2 linked regions of the Kluyveromyces lactis genome follow. The main gene of each other region encodes a partner of the protein of the gene in region 2 in a complex. Links are inferred from orthologs where the notes say so. Each region holds a gene or a part of one and is shown on either strand. Other genes may lie near its edges.

Region 1 (3,336 bases), on a different chromosome or scaffold from region 2:
CTTGACGGTCTTGGTTCTAACTCTACCCTACTCAAATAATATCAACGAATCGATTTGATCTTGTTAGTAAAAGTGGCTTCATTTTATATTGCTTCTGCGAAAACTTCCATGGAAGATAGACCTGAGAAAGAATTTGATCCTGTGAAGTTCATCATTTTGGGGGAAATAATTGGACATATGCGTTCGTTTCGTCAACTTTATTACATGTGAGAGACCTTTAACGTTAGGGTGATGAACTCCATTAATACTGTGTTGGATATGATGTTGTGGTAGCTCATATACTAATCAATGCAGGCCGTTTGCTTTATTTTGTTCCATTTTACATCAGACGGAGTTTTGATCCTTACTGTGGGTCACAATACTGGAACATGGTCATACATCACTCCTGACATGCCATAATGTTCAACTGGTGATTGGTACTTCCCAAATTGTGCAACTTTTAATACCTTTCTCACTTTCTATAGTTTTGTCTTCTTCCTCATCATTCTATTATTCTACAGTGACCAGTGCCAACCCAAAGTCCAGGTTATCTATTCCTCCTATAATCTCTCTTAATGTAGATTTTGGTCATTAGTCTACGTCTCCCGATCAATCCAGCTCTGGAAAAACACTTCTTCTCATAATCTCTTATCTTTATGGTTCTTTTCGCTTCAATTTGTCAGTTATCATCATGCTTAACGTACCATTTTGTATCGATTTAGTCCTTACGGTTGTTCCTTGTTTCAAATGCTAGAATAGTGTTAAACACGTACTGTCAACAATTGGTCTTGTAAATGTTACCGTAATCTTTAAAAGTTCATTATTACTAGACAGTATGAAATTTCATGGTGCAAACGTTGAAACAAACAGACTAACCAGGATTCACTCACAACCGGGGAACGGAAACGAAGCACAATGCAAAGGGAATACTAAGCTGGACAGAGCTAGGCAGAAGGTGTCACTGGAGGACACAATGTTACCGAAGGAACAGCTGGTAAGAGAGTGCGTGGTAGCATCCAAAGTGGGCAGAGATGGGACTCGGGAACGAAAGTGCGTCTCGTGTGGATGACAGCAAGCTAGACAGACATTCTGTCTTCCAGTACCAGTCCACACACCTTTCCCCTCCGTCCCAATTCTCTTACGAAGTGCCAAGTAGTATTTCCTCTTTTGGTTTTATCAAATTTTATGAAATTAGCGTTCTCGAATTTCAGGATTTTCAGATTTTTCATCCTTAATAAGAATGTAAGGATGTAACAGTCCCGCATTCTGTTCTCCTGTTTACATGGAAAGTTCAATTATGATGTTCTAAAGAATCAACAAGTGATTTCAAGAGAGTTTAAAGAATAAGTCAAACTCATTGATATAAAAAGATAACTAACTTCGAGGACCCGCAAACTGTTATAGTGATTTAGCTTTACATCTGTTTGACTTTGAACTGCTTCTCCTTGTTCAACCGTCACCATGTCTAACAAGTTCCATTGTGATATTTGTTCTGCAGATTGTACAAACAGAGTCAGAATAACATGTGCGGTGTGTCCAGAGTATGATTTATGTGTGCCATGCTTCGCAAAAGGGTTATACAACGGTAAGCACCGGCCAAGCCATGACTATAAAGTGATTGAAACCAACTCATACCCGATTCTCTGTGAGGATTGGGGCGCTGATGAAGAGTTACTGTTGATAAAAGGAGCCCAGACACTGGGATTAGGTAACTGGCAAGATATTGCGGATCATATCGGATCTAGAGATAAGGAAGAAGTTTATGATCATTATTTGAAGTTTTACTTGAACAGTGAACACTATCCTATTCCAGATATCACAAAAGACATTAATGAACCGCAAGAACAATTTTTGGAGAAAAGAAAGAAACGCATGGAAAGATTTAGGGAAAGGCCTTTGGAACCTCCTAGGAAACCGATGGCATCACAACCGTCATGCCATGAAGTGCAAGGGTTTATGCCAGGTAGATTGGAATTCGAAACGGAGTTCGAGAATGAGGCCGAAGGTCCGGTCAAAGATATGGTCTTCGACGCCGATGATCAACCGTTAGATATTGAAGTGAAGTTGGCTATTCTTGACATCTACAACTCGAGATTGACGACTAGAGCAGAAAAGAAGCGTTTGTTGTTTGACAATTGTCTGATGGAATACAGGAGACTACAAAGTCTCGATAAGAAGCGTTCAAAAGAAACCAAAGATTTGTACAACAAAATTAAGGCTTTCGCAAGAATCATGTCCCCGCTGGATTTTGAAGAATTCAGCAAAGACATATTGGAAGAACTTCGGTGTCGAACAAGAATTCATCAATTGCAAGAATGGAGGAGCAACGGTATCACTACTTTGGAAGCTGGTCTTAAATATGAACGTGATAAACAAGCAAGAATTATGACATTGGAAAGATTTGGAAGTCAAGTGTACTCTTCTTCTTCATCTAGTAACACTGCCCGTTATAGAGCTACTTCGGCCCATAGATCGCAAGCTGATTATGCTCAAAATTATAACGAAGGAAGTGGACGTAAGAAACTAATGACTATCAGTGACATTCAGCATGGGGCAGATTTCCAATTATTATCAGCTGAGGAACAGCAGTTATGCATAACGTTGAAAATTTTGCCAAAGCCTTACATTGCCATCAAAGAGGTACTATTCAGAGAATTAATACGGACTGCAGGTCAACTCTCGAAGAAACAGTGTCGTGATTTATTGAATATCGAGGCAACGAAGGCCAACAGAATCTATGATTTCTTCGTTTCTCAGAATTGGGTTTAATTAGAGTTATAAAACTGTGGAAATATTGGCTCCACTGCTTACCTTACTACTTAATGTCAAATATGTACATAAAAATGTGTATACAGTGTCTCATTACAGTTTCTTGATAATAGCATTCAAAATAGCATACTTCGAATCAGATTTATCCATATTGGATAATAGATGTTGGGTCAAATAACCAGAATATAATGTAGTAAGTTGTTTGGCATTCGTCTCATCTAATTTGCTGATGTATGCAGAATACTTTTTGAAGGACAATTGGAGACTGTCGATGTTTAATTCGCCGGCAGGCATGAATTTGATATTTAATGTAACATCATGCAATAATAATTCCACATATTTTTCTGGCATACTTTTCTCAAGGGAAATATTATAATGTTCGTCCTTTAGCCATTGCAATACGTGATTTATCAGATATTCTCTTTTTAAATCTTGAAATTCCGAAAATAAGTTGATATACTCGAGGCATCTATCAAACAGGTAGGACATAACGTTTCTGCTGAGCTCTTCATCGACTTGCGAATTGGTAACGGCGTAGTATCCTTGATGTTTCTTGACAAAAGATGTGCCCAGATTCTTCATTGCGAT
Region 2 (4,008 bases):
TAATTCTCCTTCACCTCTTGCTGTTGCTGCATCTGAAAATGGTACTTTAACTAATTCCTACATGTCATTCTCAACATCGTACGCCGACTCCGGTTTGTGGGGTATGTACATTGTGGCTGATTCTCAACAACACGATATAAAGTTAATCATTGACGAAATTTTAAAAGAGTGGAAAAGAATTCGGTCCGGACGTATCTCGGACGATGAGGTAAACAGAGCGAAAGCAAGATTAAAAGCCTCTCTACTTCTTTCTCTAGATGGATCGACTGCAATAGCTGAAGATATTGGAAGACAAGTAGTAACGACTGGTAAAAGGTTATCACCAGAGGAGGTTTTCGAACAAGTTAATAAAATCACAAAGCAGGACATTATAATGTGGGCAAATTATAGGCTGCTCAATAAACCTGTCTCTATGGTTGCTCTAGGTAATGTCAAAACGGTTCCATCTTTATCATACATTCAGACTAATATGAATAACTAAGTAACAAGTAAATATCATAAATCATAATTGCATCAAATATAGACAGGTACATTTATTCCACGTATTCTATATAATAAAGGGTCTAATTCCACTAGCTAGCACCAAAAACCAGCTTGACGCCAGTCTGTCAGTTATTTCAATTTATTCTTCTTTATTTTGTAGAGTTTCATTTAATTCTTCTTCCTTCCCGTTGGCATTATTGCTGAACACATCTGCTTCTTCTTCTTCCTCATCTTGGTCTATATCCTTGAATACGCTATCTCTTGGAATACGCTTCATGACTTCCGGTTTGTCAAACAAAGGACCAATCTTGCTTATCCATCTTTGTCTCTTATCCAACAAAGATTTTAGACTCGAGTTAGCGGCTTGTTGGTGAGCTGCCTGAATAGCTGCCTGAGATGTTGATCCGGTTGCTAATGAATCCGGCCCAGGTGTATATTGCCTCTTTTTCTTATTTTTCGGCGCACGAATACGTTTGATATATGCTTGGTCAACTTGCTTATCAAGATTGTCCAATATGGTACAGTACTCTTGCCATGCGAGCATCCTCTCCAATAACGGTAGAAGCATTGCCTTTCTTTTGGTATTCTTAGTAGTCACTTGACGTAGTGTACTCTGCAGCTCTCTTAGTTCAGCACTAATCTCATCATCTTCCCTTCCGGTCAACCAATCCGGGTCTTCACGTGTTTTTCCTTCTTCTCTCGGTAGATTCATATATATACCAACATACTTTAATTCCCTTTTCAAGCGTTCCTCAAAAGAAACATAATCAATATTGGAATTGTTTGCAATCGCTCCATGTTGTTTGAATATCCCGTATGACGAGGAGGATGATGGGGTAACATGTTCAAGCTCACTTACTGGTGTTGATACTGATGAATCGAGTGTGGGGTTTGTCGGTAATTCTTCCTTAGGAGCTATAATATCATCATCCTTCAGTATAGCACTCAAAAGCCTTGAGACTAGCGGGCCACAAGACACTTCTTCATTGTCAAGTACACCATCCGAAATGTCATTCCCTGATTTCTTAGGCAAGATACTAATAGGATCACTGATAGGTGGAGGAGTCAGATTCGCAATGTTTTGATTATTGTCTTCTTTCAACCACACGTCTGTGTATAGTGGTCCTAATTTAGGAATTGTGTATGGAGTCACTTCGGGGTCATAAGATTTCACAAACTGCAAATTTTGTGGCATGATGAATTTGTTTTGAAGGAATTTGATATCGTCATCATTGAATTCTCTGTAAAAGGCCTCGATGGATGAGAGAAAAGTATTAAACTGAATTTGGTTTGTGGGTTTAGGTTTCGAGAAATCCATATCAGGCAGCTCACCGGGTAGAAGTTCCTTTAAGTCATTTGTAGGATAGCTTACTACCCCGTATTTCTTTTTCAAATATTCCTCACCAGTAGCTTCAAGACCCTCCTCTTGAAACAAACCTAATCTCATTGCAGCAGCAGGTAACGTTTGAGATACTACAAATTCAGACTTGGGGTTTCTAATGTTAGGATCATTTTCCATTTTATCAATATCTAGCTTTGCTTTCTTTGATATGTGACCATCTGATGATAAAACTTCCGCTTCTTCAATAGTATCTTGTGGCCTTTTGTCTGTCTCCTCGTTCTCTTCTGTAATTGATCTTTTATCCGATACGACTTCGCTAGATTCATCAAGTTTTTTATTAATTGAATCATTTTCTGCGTTCTGGGCTGCAAGGTTTGTTGCAGCTTCTGCTTCCTCCTTCTCTTTTTGTTTCTCATCTTCGAGCCTTATTATATCTTCCCGCATTTCCTTGATTAGGTCTAAATTCTCTTGATCACTAGCTGCAATTTTCTCCAAACATTTTCCTAGATTTTCTAGTTGATCTTTAGTTGTTTGCAAAACCGGTTTCTCAGGAACCGACCTCACGTATTTACCGTTCAGTAAACCTATGTCATTCTCAAAAGTCAAGTCTAAAGACTTCAGCATCGAATTTAGAATATTCGACGGTTCATGTAGCCCAGCGTCATCTCTTTTCTGCTCTCTTATTCCTTTGCCTCTTCGCGTATTCCTTGACATAATATACCAGTGGTGTTTTACTGAGTGAAGATCTGGTTTAGCAATCTACTTGATTCCACCTTTGTCCACTGTTGACTATCGTTAAAAGATAGGCTGCTTTCCAGCTTTGGCAATATTAATGACTTTGTTCTGTTTGTTGCTTCGTTGTTTATCTTCCGTTACTTTGACAGATATTTTCATAGAAAATTTATTATCACGTGACCTCCGCCTTTTCTCTGCAAAAAATTTTCCAAGTTTACCAGAAATACCAATAATCCTCGATACAACACCAATCGGAACCAGAGAAAGCCAATTATATTCAAAGTGTTAAAAGGTCTGCGATAACGTAATCATCTTAGGCACTCAACAATGATTACTGGTGCTAGCGTGCAACGTACTGCATTCTTTTGTAGTAGACGTTTAAACTCCACCGTTACGAAAGAAGTTGCGACCATTTCCTCAACACTTTACAAGGATCCATCGAAATGGATCGGTTTGGATAGTAAAGATATCATAACGTTGCACAATGAAAGAAAGGCAAGACTAGGGCCCCTATATAAGCCTTGCGAAGAAGAGTTGAAAGCATTGTTACCCACTGCCGAAGCGTCTGGAATTCCAGCAAAACTTTTCAAAGAGTACTATCATAAGACACCTGAAGAAGTTGAGGCAGAAATGGGCATTGCAAGAGGTCTAGACGAGCATGTCAACTTGGATCAATATCAGTTTGATGATTTGCCATCACAATCACAAATTTTAGTTCATCAACATCGTGAACAACGTTTCTACAATCGTTTGGCAGCATTTGAACTTCCTTTACTTGCGCAGTATCGTCAAGAATATAAACGCCCTTCAACAAAGACTCATCCAGTAGCTTATCGTTATACAACATATCTTGGTGAAGAACATCCAAATTCTCGTAAGGTTGTCTTATCTGTGAAGACATCGGATCTCGGCTTGGAACAGAGGGAACTGCATAAGCTGCGTCTATTGGCAAAAACACGTTATGATTCTACTACAGATACTTTGAGAATGTCTTCTGATCGCTATGAAGAACCAGCTCAAAATGCAAAGTACTTAAACAGCATTCTTCTAGAATTACTCAAGGAGGCTAAAGATTTGAAAGACGACTTTGCTGATGTTCCTCTCGATAAAAGACATATCATCGCAAGACAATTGCGTAAGAAAAAGCGTGGGTACGAGTTCCCAGAAGAGTGGAAACGTCCACAAGATGCTCCAAGGAAAACAGTGGATCTTGTTGAGCTATTACACAAACAGCTTTGATCAACCTTTTAAAACACACAAAAACAACTGTAAATAGCCATATACGCACAAATTAATGACCAATTTAATTGTATAGCAACAGCCATCTATTCGTTAAAGGGTGAAAAGACAAACCTTACATATCTAAGATGATAGCTACTTCAACTGTAGATTTAGTTGATCAGCAATGCTAAATGAGATTCTTTCAAACTTGTCACCGAGTAATTCAA

Evidence for each region. The genes of interacting proteins can lie anywhere in the genome.
Region 1: NGG1 (region 2) and ADA2 share a complex: the UniProt entries of both Saccharomyces cerevisiae proteins name them as parts of the ADA/GCN5 complex. The link is inferred for Kluyveromyces lactis from reciprocal best matches to the Saccharomyces cerevisiae genes NGG1 and ADA2.

The regions. Positions count from the first base shown.
Region 1 is NC_006038.1:117,086-120,421, forward strand, and holds ADA2 (chromatin-binding transcription regulator ADA2), read left to right. Parts: upstream 1-1,440; coding exon 1,441-2,748; downstream 2,749-3,336. Other genes in the region: RPS17B (40S ribosomal protein eS17), read right to left, coding at 1-27, 684-686; snoRNA-binding rRNA-processing protein UTP6, read right to left, coding at 2,842-3,336. UniProt on the Saccharomyces cerevisiae protein: Component of the transcription coactivator SAGA complex. SAGA acts as a general cofactor required for essentially all RNA polymerase II transcription. At the promoters, SAGA is required for transcription pre-initiation complex (PIC) recruitment.
Region 2 is NC_006040.1:1,523,281-1,527,288, reverse strand, and holds NGG1 (histone acetyltransferase NGG1), read right to left. Parts: upstream 2,540-4,008; coding exon 623-2,539; downstream 1-622. Other genes in the region: MAS1 (mitochondrial processing peptidase), read left to right, coding at 1-481; RSM24 (mitochondrial 37S ribosomal protein mS35), read left to right, coding at 2,888-3,799. UniProt on the Saccharomyces cerevisiae protein: Component of the transcription coactivator SAGA complex. SAGA acts as a general cofactor required for essentially all RNA polymerase II transcription. At the promoters, SAGA is required for transcription pre-initiation complex (PIC) recruitment.